Linked DNA regions of Schizosaccharomyces pombe. The protein of the gene in region 2 purifies or fractionates together with the protein of the main gene of each other region. This does not show direct contact. Each region holds a gene or a part of one and is shown on either strand. Other genes may lie near its edges.

What was found.
Region 1: the proteins of ntr2 (region 2) and smd2 purify together in Schizosaccharomyces pombe (affinity purification with mass spectrometry, with the first as the bait; one large-scale study listed by BioGRID). This does not show direct contact.
Region 3: the proteins of ntr2 (region 2) and msl1 purify together in Schizosaccharomyces pombe (affinity purification with mass spectrometry, with the first as the bait; one large-scale study listed by BioGRID). This does not show direct contact.
Region 4: the proteins of ntr2 (region 2) and sme1 purify together in Schizosaccharomyces pombe (affinity purification with mass spectrometry, with the first as the bait; one large-scale study listed by BioGRID). This does not show direct contact.

What each region holds. Positions count from the first base shown.
Region 1 is NC_003424.3:4,263,436-4,266,337, reverse strand, and holds smd2 (Sm snRNP core protein Smd2), read left to right. Parts: upstream 1-1,746; 5' UTR 1,747-1,788; coding exon 1,789-1,793; exon of another isoform or gene 1,794-1,850; coding exon 1,851-1,951; exon of another isoform or gene 1,952-1,978; intron 1,979-2,011; coding exon 2,012-2,124; intron 2,125-2,185; coding exon 2,186-2,314; 3' UTR 2,315-2,385; downstream 2,386-2,902. Other genes in the region: protein aim29, read left to right, coding at 239-616; serine palmitoyltransferase Lcb2, read right to left, coding at 2,639-2,902. UniProt on the Schizosaccharomyces pombe protein: Plays a role in pre-mRNA splicing as a core component of the spliceosomal U1, U2, U4 and U5 small nuclear ribonucleoproteins (snRNPs), the building blocks of the spliceosome.
Region 2 is NC_003424.3:3,567,469-3,571,297, forward strand, and holds ntr2 (spliceosome complex disassembly protein Ntr2), read right to left. Parts: upstream 2,078-3,829; 5' UTR 2,072-2,077; coding exon 1,975-2,071; exon of another isoform or gene 1,901-1,974; coding exon 1,824-1,900; exon of another isoform or gene 1,759-1,823; coding exon 1,673-1,758; exon of another isoform or gene 1,625-1,672; coding exon 799-1,624; 3' UTR 514-798; downstream 1-513. Other genes in the region: SPOM_SPAC17A2.07C (uncharacterized protein), read right to left, coding at 1-170, 273-390; RNA-binding protein Csx1, read right to left, coding at 2,979-3,829.
Region 3 is NC_003423.3:1,374,483-1,377,813, forward strand, and holds msl1 (U2 snRNP-associated protein Msl1), read right to left. Parts: upstream 1,271-3,331; 5' UTR 1,240-1,270; coding exon 1,012-1,239; exon of another isoform or gene 939-1,011; coding exon 831-938; 3' UTR 507-830; downstream 1-506. Other genes in the region: transcription factor TFIIIC complex subunit Sfc9, read right to left, coding at 56-143, 202-298, 346-453; ribosomal protein arginine N-methyltransferase Rmt3, read right to left, coding at 1,859-3,252. UniProt on the Schizosaccharomyces pombe protein: Involved in pre-mRNA splicing. This protein is associated with snRNP U2. It binds stem loop IV of U2 snRNA.
Region 4 is NC_003423.3:1,762,966-1,767,152, reverse strand, and holds sme1 (Sm snRNP core protein Sme1), read left to right. Parts: upstream 1-1,956; 5' UTR 1,957-2,019; coding exon 2,020-2,058; intron 2,059-2,095; coding exon 2,096-2,185; intron 2,186-2,294; coding exon 2,295-2,370; intron 2,371-2,532; exon of another isoform or gene 2,533-2,599; coding exon 2,600-2,649; coding exon of another isoform or gene 2,650-3,401; 3' UTR 3,402-3,687; downstream 3,688-4,187. Other genes in the region: karyopherin Mtr10, read right to left, coding at 1-852, 904-1,002; DNA-directed RNA polymerase I complex subunit Rpa34, read right to left, coding at 2,646-3,401; TRAPP complex subunit Trs20, read right to left, coding at 4,131-4,187. UniProt on the Schizosaccharomyces pombe protein: Involved in pre-mRNA splicing. Binds and is required for the stability of snRNA U1, U2, U4 and U5 which contain a highly conserved structural motif called the Sm binding site. Involved in cap modification.

The DNA.
Region 1 (2,902 bases), 700 kb from region 2:
ATTGACTCGAGTGTTAATCAAATTGCAATTGTATATACGAAAAATATAAGCATAAAGGTGAGGCTCTGGAGAAACAAAAAGCTATTGTGACATTTTTTTGGAATACAAATAATTTTGAAAGTTTTTGGGAATTTCGCAAGGATTTCGAACCCTTATATAAGAATCGAATTACAGTCATTTAACTATTGATCATTTGGTACTTTTTTACTCTTTGGTTTTATTTAAATCTTTCAAAAGGATGACGGGCGCAACGTTAACTGTTCGAGTAATTCGCAACTTTGAATATCGGACACTGAAAAACGTCGTTTTCCACGACATAGATCTGGCCACTACGACTGTAGACCAGTTCAAAAAAATCATCGATGAACGCATACAAACGGATCCCTCATTGAAAATCTACCGTACTACCCATTTTGACACGTTGAAGATTTATGTGAAAGCCCAGCAGCACAAAACCCAAAACTTGGCTATTAATTTAGACCACGATGATTGGATTCTTAATGATGGAGCCAAAACATTGTCTCTTTGTGGAATTGAAAATGAAACTGAGTTGTCCTACTTTGAACTTGCTGCCTACAAGGCCTATCAAGCAAATCCTGTACAAAAATGGCTTTAGACATGCATAACTTTATTAAGAGTTCAATTGTTGGTGTTAGGAATAGGAGATGAGTTTACCTTTGTTATTTAAATTGAATATTTTTCAAACTACGCTAAAAAATTCCTGATGTCTTTATTAGTGCAACTATTTAAAATTACCTAGGTCGCTGTTGCAATTCATGTATTGACAATAGCAGAATGCATTGTAGTGAGCAAAAGTATGTAGAATAATAAATGATACAAAACAATACGCATTTTAAACCAAATGTTGTAAACATCGACTTTATGACTTGGTACCAATAGCACCAAGGACGTCCCTATCTACATATTTATATAAGAACAAAACATTTCTCATTCATCAAAACGCTACACCAATACTTAATAAAAAGTTATTTTAAAAACAAGCAAAAAAAGAGTTGCGCGGCCAGGTTTCGATCCTGGGACCTACGGGTTATGAGCCCGTCGGAGTTCCACTCTCCTACCGCGCACAAATACCGTCACCAGCAGGATTTGAACCTGCGCGGGCAAAGCCCATTAGATGACTAGAATACAGGATTCAAGTCTAACTCCTTAACCACTCGGACATAGTGACTTTAGCTGTACATTTATCATGAAATGTAATTTATATAGCCAAAATCAAAAATTTCTATGTAATTTTTGATAGGAAGTTTCCAATGCTCAAATGGTTGATTTCACAAAAGCATTGCTTTATGTTAAGAAAATATTGTTTTTGGTGTTAGAATATATTTTTTTTATTATCAAAGTAAACTCCTAAAACTACAAGCTTGTCTATTCAGCTTAATTTCCATAAGTAGCTAGTGTTCATCCTTCAATTCAATGACTTTGCATTTGAAAGGATAGTTAGTTTATGAGACCTTAGGGATTTTGTGATTAAGTAGTCCAATTATACTTCTAATGTTATAATCAATAAACAATTACAATGCATTCAGTTTTTTATATCCCACATTGAAAGTTGTCAGGTATGAGTTAAAGTGTGTGATTAAAAGATTTTTTTTAATTAATAATAAGATATAGTAAAATATTGAACCGAAATTGATTTTCAACATTTCGCTTCTAACTTGAAATCCATTTTGTGCAATCTTGAACTTGCTCGTTAAATAGCACTTGTCCTTGACCCCCAAGAGACTTAAAATTCTACCATTTTTGATATTCCTAGCTTGTATCGTTCTAATGGCGTATGTCTTTTGTCCTTTTATCTAAAATTTTTTGATTTCTTTTTTCTAATAATTTAGCGATTTGGTTGATAAACCTAGAAGTGAACTGAGCGAAATAGAACTCGCTCGTCTAGAAGAATATGAATTCTCTGCTGGTCCATTAAGTGTTTTACAACAAGGTATACTATATGATAGAATGTCAATTTTAAATTTACATACTAATGGCTCTTCTGTTTTAGCGGTAAAAAATCATGATCAAGTTCTTATTAATTGTCGAAACAATAAAAAGTTGCTTGCTAGAGTAAAGGCATTTGATCGCCATTCCAACATGGTATTAGAAAATGTCAAAGAGGTAATAATTTTTTTCATCTTTTAGTCTCTCTTTCCATCCACACTTGCTAATATATTCTTAGATGTGGACCGAAAAAAAACGAACAGCTTCTGGCAAAAAAGGAAAGGCTATCAACAAAGATAGATTTATTAGCAAAATGTTTCTTCGTGGTGATGGTGTCGTTCTTGTTGTCCGTATTCCCTCTGCATAATATACCCCATTTTCCTACCTAATGGATACTTAAGTTAGAAACGACTTCAAAATATCCCGATGTGCTTACAAAAAACTATTTTATACGTGTGTTAACTTTATTATTAATTAAAGATATCTTTATTTGAAAATAAAAAAGGCTCCATCTGTAGTGTCTCTCTAGTTGTGCCTTGAATGTCTTTCGTAAAAAAAAGCGAATGAATTGCAGAAAGCTTTCAGATGTAGCACCCATCTTTCCTAAGAGATTTATTATATAAAAAAAAGAATGGTTATGACACAAAAATCATATTATTTTCATTACAAATATACAATGCTAGCATATTCATTACTGTGTAAGTGCATCATGGACTCCATGCTTCAATACATCCTCAATCTTCCAACGAGGAGGTTTAAACCAACCTTGATTTTTCTTCATCTTTTCAACGTTAGTCTTACCCACATCTTCACCAGCTGCACCGGTGGAAAATTTCAACTGAAGCTTCTCACCAACTTCATCACAAGCTCTCAAAAAATAATCCATGTCGGCTTTATTGTGACTAGCGGAGAAACAAAACCTCACTCTAGAGGTCAACAAAGGACAGGCAGGATA
Region 2 (3,829 bases):
CAAAGGAGAGATCACAGAAAGTTGTGTCCGTGGAGCTTCGTCAGCCTCTTCTGTAGGCTTATTTATGCTGTCATCTTCTTCCAGTTCAGCATCCAAGTCTTCTACAACAATTGTGTACTCATTTTTGTAGTAAGCTACACGCTTGCAGGTTGGCATTTCAATATCAGAATCTGCACCGACTGTTAATATATTGACATGGAATAAAGGATATTGTAAGAGAATTCGCTTTCCCTTTTAAATTTATTCAAAAGGTTAATCGATAGTATACATACCATCATATTCTGAAGTATCCTCTATTGTAAGCTTCTTCAATGGCCTTTCGATAATTTCGAGGATTCTTTTCGTCGAATAATCATCTTTTGACGCATAATAGCTTCTTTTCAGAGCCATTGAGACGATAAAATGACAAGTCTTATTGTAAACCCACTTTTTGGCAGTAGGTAAAATGTATTCTCTTCAACACACAAAATCCATTGTAAGTGACAATGCTACTTACTAAAGTTTTGAATACTCAGAGGCTATAACTTTAATATGTGATAAAGCTAATGAAATCTTCTAGCAATTAATATCTATTATCTCCATAAATATCGGGTCATTATTTTTTTGTAATTCCCGGTGACTTCTTGGCACTGTTTTTCTATTTCAACAAGTCACCGATGGGCTGTAACAGCTAATTAATACTGTACAAGGATAAGAGTTCTGTAAGAAATGTAAATCTAAGTTATAGCGTTAAGTAAATTTATCGACCATGTCTTTCTTCTTTGTTTTTTTTTTATCAATTAAAAAATCCAAAGTAAATCAGGATTTGCTTTTGGTAAGGTTGTTCAACAAAGTTTTATCTAAATCAATGAAAGAATGTTTAATCTTTTCCTCTTGTTCATTAATCTCGAGTTCTTCTTCCATAAGTGATTTAATAATCTGTGAACGCTCCTCCTGCTGAAGCTTCTCAGAAGCTATTGCTTCTTTTAGCCGCTGAATTTGTTCATCCATTGTAAGAATATTAGGAAGCTTCACAGAAAGTCCATTTGTAAAAGCAGGAGATTCTCCAAAGGCACCTTTCTTGATTTGAGTATGTTCCCATGATTGGATGGGCTCTGCTATGTCTTCATCGTCCAATTCCATCTCCATATTTTTCTGGTCGACGGCCATTTGAATTGATCGTGTCCGTAAACTTTCCGAGCTATGGTGGTATATTTCTTGAAGTTTTTCTGACTCCTCCACGTAATTTTCAAATCCAGAGTAACCTTCATCTTGAATTTCGTCTTCCGTTTGAAGCAATTTCTCTTCTTTATGATTTTGTGCCAACATCAGTTGGTCCCCTGTTTCAAGTGAAATGTAATTATCCGTCATCATGGCAATGTTTCTCTTTCTTCCTTCTCGATCCTTTAACTCCTTAATCATTGCTTCCTCAGGAATGCCTTGATTAAGCATATTCCATTCCAAACTAGTATTAACGGGTAAAGGAGGTGACGATCTTGTTTGCAATTCGCTTTCTTTGGTCGAGGAATCCTCCTCCTTCTTTGTAAATTCTGATGGTGTCTGCCTACTTTTTCTCTTTAACTCATCCACATAAGCATTGGAGTATCCACTTTCATGCGAGAGAGCATCCATTCTTCGCGATATTCTTTATTAATTAGATAACTAATACTTGGACTTAAAACATTTTACTTACAAATCATCAACCGAATGAAAAGAGCTTTGCTTTTTTACCTTTGGAATCAAAGGGATTTGAGAATCCTCCCCATCGTCGTCTCCTTCCTAATCAATGTTTGTTAATATAACAGATGAATTGGTAAAACGTTTTCCAGCAAAAAACAACTTACCTCGTTCTCATATTTCACCCTAAATTTTCCCGAATTTTTTTCTTTCGCTTTTGTTTTTCTTCTATTTGCATTTTTGTCTAAGCATTGTTAGTACACTTGCGATAATAAGTTCTATTCGAGCCCAAGCACTTTTGCGCTTTTAAGTTCTTACTTGATTGAGAAACGTTTAAATTTTCTTCATGCTTTTCTTCCTCATTGTCGCTCGTTTGCACGATTTTAGGCTTCGCCTTTTTTAAGTATCGTCGCATGTTGGTAAATGGGTGCTACTTTCTAGGCAAACATATTTCTACCAATCTTTCATATTGAATAGCTATTTTTGTAAAAAAAAAATCATATAAAGTCTTAATTAAAATGATGTTTTTATGTTCTGTGAAAATTAGAAAGGGATAAACATAAATGTCTTTACTTGGGCATTTAATATTATGGCACATACTGAAGAGGTGCATCGGATAATGCAAAGCATCAGAAAAGTATTTGTTCAATTGACTTACATTTTTTTCGACTAATTTTAGAGAAATGTGTTTGAAATTCAAGTTTCAGATTTAAAACTTTTAATTGAAAAGCTACAATCGACAAGCTACCAATATCTACTACAGTCACTGGAAAATTTCCATTATATAAGTTGAAAACAAAAACAATGCTTTTAATTATTTAGAAAATCAGAAGAAAAAATAACAAAATTATTTTTTGGAAAGGACATTTTAAAATAAAACATATAAATAACTCATCGATCCAAAAAAAAGATTTGGACGTTTGAAAAACCTCAATGGAAGTTTTCATGTACATATGTGCATTAAGGAACAACAGCAATGAAAGAAAAATAAAACAATCATAAATAAAACAATCCTTGGCACAAATAATATTCAACAGTTATAAAAAACATCACAAGAGAGATTTAACATACAAGAATAAAAACAAAACAAAATAAAAAAAATCACGAGAGCACCCTTCAGTTCTTTAAGACATTAAACTAACTTGATCAGGAGCCCTCGAAAACTTATACGGATGCCTTTGAAAAACGAAAATAAATAAAAAATTAAAACAAAAACATTAGAAATAAAACAAGAATATTCGGGAAATCCCTTCACTTAAGAAGAGAAGTGGAAGAAACAAATAGTAGTAGTAGTAATGCATTTCAAACATCATAAAAATAATTTATGAATCGCGTGACAAGCGTAGAGAAGGTTGCAAGTATTGACCAGTACAATTAAATGTAGAATAAGAACGAGGAGGCAAGCGACCTCTCAAGTTCAAACCAAAGCCGGATTTCTCCAAACCGTTTTCATTTTGCTCCAACTCATGACGGAGATCAATTAGTGAAGACTGACGCTCCCTTCCTAGGTTCCAAGGCCTAGAAGCTCTCGCTTGAAATGCTGAACCATTCAAAGAAGCAGGTTGCTCATCATCAACCAACTTTAAGGAGGAAACACGTGTTAATAAATCTTGAGTAGCAAAGGAGTTATGATTGTTGCCGGAAAAAGGCTGCAACCATTCGGGGAGCTTCACACTAGGCTGGACCTTTGCAGAACCATTAATTTTTGAGGATTGCAAAACAGAAGACTGAGGATACACCTGTCCGCCTACCAAGCCAGTGGCAGCTGAAGGGAAATGGGAAGAAAGAGGTGTCAAACCTGAGCCACTACCGGACAACGTAGGAGAAATGGAGGCTGAACGAGACAAAGGAGGTGGAGAAATGGTTGAAAAATTTACGGAGTTCATGCCATTGATTGAGGAAACAACGGAGTTTGGCAACAAAGATTGCGCAGCAGCAGTACGAGGTGAAACAGGTGCACTCTTCAAGCTAGAGCCGGATGAGTTTGAGCTGCCAGAGTTTGCTCCAATGACAGATTGATTCATACCGAAAATTTGGTTAGCGGAAAGAGTTCTGTCGAAGCCCTCATCTGAAACTTGGGATTGAGATTGAGACAAGGCAGATACAGGAAGCGTATTATGACCCCACGCGAGGCGGATATGAGAAGTACCAACTAAGGCACCCTGCATAGTGT
Region 3 (3,331 bases), on a different chromosome or scaffold from region 2:
CCGAGTGGAATGTTAAGTAAAGTCAAACTCAAGTCTTCTCTTTTTAAGAACATACTCGTAATTGTCTGCGAGACCTGTTGGCGACCAGACCACATAGCGGCTTATGACACTTGGAGTTAGATCTCCTAAACGAAGCTCATTAGCTGTAAAACACGTTAGCTTTTATACTCTCATAAGCATCAAAGGGCATTGGGAACATACGAGCAAGCATTTGGCAATTTGGTAGTTCATCTTCCACATCATCTAAATAGGCTAGCGCCTTCATAAACTTAGGCGTATTGGCTTCAGTTGAAGGTACCTGAAGGGAATTAGCTAGTCTCGAACACGTCAATTTGAGATATGTACCAAGATTTGGACTTTTTCTGAATCGCAAAAAGCCAATTTTCCATCGCAAGAACAAGTACAGCTATACAAGCTTGATGGAAGAAAATCCAATGCTACATCCTTTCCCATTGTAAGAAAGACGACGAGCGATGTTGAAGCCAGGTGAACAATTCCATCAAATGCGTTAAAGTTCAGTGCCTTGCGCAATGCTAGTTGAGAAAGACTTGCATGAAAAATCCACTAAAATAGCTGTAAACAAGATGATATTGGACTAGAATTTTGCTTCATCTTATAAAACTTAGCAACAATGCGATGGTGTTATCGGTCCGCTTTACTGTCTGCAAACACTGACACCTGAAACAACTAAAACCAACAGGTATATACAGTGAAGAACAAAAAGAGAGAAAAAGGAAAACCACTCTTTATAACTCTCTTGACTCCAACAGGATCCCGAAAAAAGTTACCCTATATAAAACGATAATTGTGAATTTTAGAAAATGTACAGTTTACTCAAGGTCAGCTTCATCACGTAGCCGTTTTAAAGGACCTCTGCTGTCATTTTCGGCGACGATTCTTTCAATAATCTTACTTTTCGAATGAGCGTATTGAATTTTCTTATTAAAGATGTTAGTCAATCGTTTTTGTTTTTTTATGGGGATTAATGAGAAAGCTCATTTCACAGCATACCATTTCCTTTCCGAAGAATATGAAATTTTTTAAGGCCTTCATCGCAATTGCAGCGGCAGAGGGATCAAAGAATACAACATGAGCTTGACCTCTCATCTTGGGAGTTTTCAACGCGACAATATCAACCACGGTCCCATAAGTGGAGAATAGCATATATAGTGCTGTTCTTAAATCATTTTTATTAATTTTATCATTCAAATTATTCACATAAAGTGTATTTTGATTCATTTTCGCCCTAGTTTGGTGTTTTGCAAATGCTGAACTCTTTACCTTATATTTTTACCTGCAAACACTGCGCGCTAACAATCGCTATGAGTTAACTTATTGAATGGATTGTTGAAAAGGCTCGTCTTAATTACATTAAAATGCTAAAGCTTTTACATTTTTAATTTATCTTTTAAGGCTATAAATATCCATATTTAATTTTCCGGAACGAAATATGTTTATTTGCAATTCTACGACCATTGAACGCTAGTCATCTGAATTATGATTCAAGTCACAATTATTTTTAGAGATCCCTTAAATATAATCAAATCGTAACAAAAAATCAACGATAATAATAGTTCACGTTAAAAATCTTTCCCAAGCATTGTGCAGTTGTTGATAGTTTAATCCTTATGTACTCAAATTTCCATATTTAAAAGATTGAAAAAATGTTATTTTTTAGTAGTATAGAAAATAGAGAATATTTTAAGACTAGATGATTTTTTCGATCCACCGTATTCCCACTCTGGGGAAATAATTTTACAGGAAATGCCTTAAAACCCCAGCAAGATTCCTAATCCAAAAACCTACAGCATAGTAACATTAATCAGTAATTCTATATTTTTAAGTAAAGACTTTGATCCTAATTCAACACGTAGCTTTGAGAGTCAGCTTTCCCATTTACATTCCAGTGAACCGAAATGTCCAAATCACGATTGTTTTTTTTATTTTTTGAAAAGGAAATAGTTCCTTCAACACGAGTGCCTTTTTGAAGGAAAGGACGATTACGTAGTAACAAAACGCATTGTTTCCAATGAGTAGGAGTGCCTTGAGGGCCTGTTGTAAATCCACAAGCTTCATCAATAGCTTCTGGAATAGGCTGTGTTCTCTTAGTCGTAAAATACGTATCAAACCATAAAGTGAAAGCACAAAGCGGTCCTTCGTTGTCTATAATTAGAGAGAAGGGGGAAGTAAAACTGACATCTTGAACTTTGCACGTATGCATATTAAACCTTGCAAAAACAACAGGCTTGGCGTTAACATAAGTTTGAGGAACGACTTGTACACTAACACCTTTATAAGAAGCATCCTTCATGCCATTCATTTTGAAACCATACACATCGCTCCAGAAATCAATAGGTTCTTCTAACAATTCAGTGTTTGTGGTAGCTGTAAGTACCAATCGTGTCTCGGACGGTGCCATAATTCCAGAAGGTGCAAGGAAGCGATCTCTGGCAACAAGGACGGAATCAATCATACTCTCAAACGTTAGAGCATAGCCCATCCATTCCGAAATAATGATATCTACCTTGCCAACCGGTAAACTGATATCTTCGATTTTTCCACGAATAAAAGTAATTTGATCAGCAAGACCATTTTCAAAAGCATTTGAGATAGCCATTTGAATGATATCGGAGTTGTCCACAGCATAAACCTTCTTGGCGCCAGCCTTTGCGCAAAACATGGATAAAATGCCAGTACCGCATCCTACATCCAAAACCGTTTTTCCAGCAAAAATATGCTTATTATGATAAACGAAGTCACGGTATCCCTCGGTCCGGACAGAATCGTTTAGCATAAGGAAATGAATATCATTTCCAGCGTAAGACTCGAAATAATAAGAATCGTTATCTGCTTTCTTTGGGGTAACTGATAGCTGATCTGTAGTCTGACTAGTCAATTCATTCATTTTATCTTTTCGAATTTCTTCAAGCTGAGAGATAAGAAGTTGATTTTGTAACTTTAATTTCTTTATTTCTGCATCTTTAGAAACATCTGCTGGATTCTCTACTTCAATTTCGAGAGTATTGTCGTCCTCAAAATCTGAATCGAGTTCATCGCCAAGCGAGAAGAGTACACTGTCGTCAGGGAGTACAGAAATCATGTATTCGTCGGACCGTAAAATGTCGGAAAGTTTGTCCAAATCTGGTGTTTTTCCTTCCTTGACTTGAGACCGAATGTAATTTACCAATTTAATGCAAGCATAGAAATCCAAATTATTCTGCTGCTTAACTTGATAAAAGTCAAAGTTGTGTGCTACAATAGAACCAAAGTTAGCCATGTATGAATATTAATAGATATACAAAATTTTTAAATTAAATAGAAAAACTCATAC
Region 4 (4,187 bases), on a different chromosome or scaffold from region 2:
AGCAATGCAGTTTACTAAAGGCAAAAAATCATTCGGCATCCTAGCAATCAAAACAACCCAAGCTTCACCAGCCTCGGCAAAAAGCCTTCCTAGTGCACGAAAAGTTTCTGGGTCATCACAGGCCGCAATAAGTTTAGGCTGAAGTTCAAGTAAACGTGGATAGAGCATCAGTATGGCATCAGTAGTTTCATCAACATCTTTAGTCTCATTAAAAAGGGCACATAGAAATTCTACAGCATCTTCTAACAGTAAGTCATCATCCAGAGAACGGAAAGCAAGTTCAATTAAGGGAGAAGCCATAACTTTATCAAGGGGAATTTCTCTCAACCAGGAAATCAAACTCGTAAGAACAAGACCAAGGTCAGCGCTCGAAGGAGATCCTGAAGCACGGACAGCATCGACATATTGCACCAGAAGCTCGAGTACTGCTGGACCGTTATCACGAAGAAGTTCATCAACACGAATACATAACTCCTCCCAACTCAATGAAGTTTTCCTTGGATCACTAGCTTCTTCAGGGAGTACTGATAAAAACTGTAAAACACATCTTCCACTGGGGTCTTTGGAGCTACAGGCTTGAAAAACATCGGCTATAACATTATGCCATTCAGTCATATGTAAAGCAATTGCAGCCATACAAACAGCCAATGATACCAATAAAGGTCTTGGACTATCTTTAGCTGCTAAAAATAACTGTAGCAAGGAATTACGAAATTCAATATGTGTTTCCTTAGGTAGCTGATGAAAATCGTATACAATTTTTTGGCGCAAAGTTTGTGCGGCAAATAACTTTGCTTCAATGCTGCTGTCATCTTGATTCAAAATTGAAAAACATATTTGCCATGCAGCAGGCTAAAAATATGCAGGTTAACATCATCCAGTTCAAATCTCTGACTGACTTACACTTTTCTGAAACTCTTCTAAGTAGTTGTTTGCTTGAAGTTTCTGCTCACGATCAGTGTTGGCATACAAAGTAGCCAAAGCACTTAACAACGTTTCCATGAGGGCATAAAAATCACTTAGATTGATTGCTTTACGCACTGGCAGCGTGTGTTTTTGTTTCGGTTCAGACCTGTAGTAGCAGTAAAAGACCTATTTAAGGAACAAGTAACTTATACCTCTTTATTACAGTATTCGGGAGGTTTTCCATGATCATTATAATAAATAGCATTCAAGGCATTATGTCTCAGTATAACGTTGATTTTTAATTTTAATACATTTGGTAGAGTAAAAACTTCAAATGTTAGAAAATAAAATTTGCTTAGGTATTCCAATTGCTATTTACATAGCTACCATAATAATATAATTCTAGCCACATAAAGTAGTTTCGCGTGCTATATTTTATATATCCGAAATACAATGTAAAGCGCATAGTAGTCTGTTTCCTAATAATACTGGCAAACATATGGATTATATAATATCTAATGTATGAAACATCCGTTTGATGCAGCTGGTAGAACCTAATTTAGAGCTGTTCAAGGATTCTGATTTCCAAATATTTATCAGATTTTGGCTATTTTCATTACAGTCTTCTTCATTTCTATTGTCAAATCTTTTTGAATCTATGGATATTAATCGTCTAAATTAATGTAATTTTTGCTGAACTTTGATAACTTGTTTATTGTTTTTTTTTAATGTCATTTTTTACTGAGTAGCTACTCACGCTAAAGTACATTTCTTGCTTTTCTCAATCATTTAAACAAGTGAATTGTCCATAAATTGTCTAATAAAAATAACAATACAATCTTGGCTGCTTTGATTGAAGTTTAGCAACCTACACTTTTGTATGTATGAAAGTCGATAAAAAATTAAAACAGCTTATTGAAGATCAAATTACATATCTAAAAAAAATAAAAAAAAAATAAAGGATCGATAAACATTGATCCATGTGGTACAAATTTATTGAAGAGGTTTTTGGTCTTGGCTAAATATCCACTAAGTCAGTGCTGACAGGCCGCCAACTGCACCATTGCACAACCATCTATAGAATTTCGTTTTTTGATAAAATAAGTTTTCAAGATGTCAGGACGCGTGCAAAAAGTTATGATACCTCCTATTGTATGGTTAATTGTTGTTGGATAGCTAACTTACGCAGAATTTCATTTTCAAATTGTTGCAACAACATACTCCTGTTTCAATTTGGCTGTTTGAACAAACAGATATAAGACTTCAGGGACAAATTAGGGTAAGAAATTTACTTTATGGAAAATCCCTTCATAGTCGTTGGCCTAGGATTTTGAAATACCTTCATTTTCCCTACGACAAGTTGATGAATTGCTAACGATATATGACAGGGCTTCGACGAATTTATGAACATTGTGCTTGACGATGCTGTGCAAGTAGATGCTAAAAATAATAAAAGGGAGTTAGGTAAGCCTGATTTTAGACGAATAAAACCTTGGTTTATGTGAAAGAATGTTCGGTGGGATTTTATTCAAAAGTCTTTACATGAAGCAAAAATAATAATAGATGCATGTCTTAAGCTGATTTACCAAATTGCGTTTCCAGCAACCTTACAAATTCTAAAACAAACCGTTGATGCAGATTTTTGTTCTAAAATATTTAACAATTTCCCAAACCAATTGCTAACATTGCTTAGGTAGAATTCTATTAAAAGGTGATAATATTACACTAATTCAAGCAATCTAATTTTTTTCCTTTTTGCTGGATTTCTTTTGCTTTTTCTTCTTAGGTTTTTCTTCCTCATCCTTCTTTTCCCTTTTTCCCTTTTTCAATTCCTTTTGCTTTTCCTTCCCTTTATTTTGTAATTCCTCTACTGTAGCATCACCAGTCTCTTGTAAAATATGTTCTTTGATGCCAGACTTGGGTTCAGCTTCAGGTTCCGATTCAGGCCCTACAGCATCTCCAATCGGGCGAAAATGCTGTCTCAGATTCTTTCTTTGAGGAACAAGTGGTGCCTGCGTAGGTATTGTAATACCAGTATCAATGTTTTGTGAAATTTTGGGGGTCTCTGTAATCACATATCCAGTTTTGATTTCATTTGACGTATAGGAACCTTGCTCGTCAGGTAAAAACACACGTACGGAGCTTGTTGATTCTTCTCGGATTTGATAGGTGTTTTCGTTCTCCTGCTTTAATTCTACTGTAGGTTTGGAGCCTACCTTTAGCTGACTTATTTGGTCAGCGGACATGCCAGGCGGAAGTCGTACTAAAAAAACATTGGACTCCTTTTTCAAGTCATTAGTGGTCAAAACAGGCTTTCCTTGCACTTTCTCTAAACCAGCAATTTCTGCAACATCTTCTTGTGCGTTCGATTCGCCGTGATTGTTGCTCTCCACGGATTGTTCAGGTTCTTTCGACGAATGCTGATCCTCTATGCTAGAAACGCTAGATTCATCTTCTGAACTTTCCTCGTTTACAAATTCACTTGATTTTGCCATATCTACGCCCCAGTAGAATTTAAAGTGAAATTTTGCAAGCGTACCTGTATTTTGCTCTGGTGAGCTTGTGGGTCACAACGTAGGTATCATCGAGCTGGATAACGATGCACAAGGTAGTATTCATATTAAAGGAACTTTTATGTGATGAAACAAAAAATAAAAAGTATGTGGTTATAGCAAGAACTCTACTTCTTAGGTAAAGAAAAAAGTTAAAATGGAGCAATCGGTTCACTACTTTATTTTTTCGGCTTAAAAAATGTTGTTTTTCTAGAAATTAATATTCCCAACATCTTTCTTTATCTAGTAGATAGGGATTTTTTTTTTTTTTTTTTAAGTTGTCTGACAATTGCTTCTGTAAGGATCGGACTACTAAGAACGGTCGCAGCTTGACGCGACCAGTTGCTTAAAGGATGTAGTATTATTTTGTGTTTATGTAAAATGGATATCAATTGTAGGAAGAAGTGAGGTACACATAACTAAAGAACGACGTATATATATGTTGTATACAGAGTGTAAACACAATGAGTCAAAATTTAAAACTGAAAAAAAAATACATATCTGCAAACATTTCCTCTTCAATGCCTCATGTATGTGGAAATTGAACAATTATCAACCTCGGCCAGCATAGGCATTGTAGATGCCTCACTCTTACAAATAAAAAGGCAAGAGAAAGATAAATGCTTTTTGGAGAGAAAGAACGTGAGGAAGAAATCAACCAACACCTTTTCATCACAGATACCTTCTAGCAATTGAACGGACCTTTAAATCAAAAGCCTGAGAACGAAT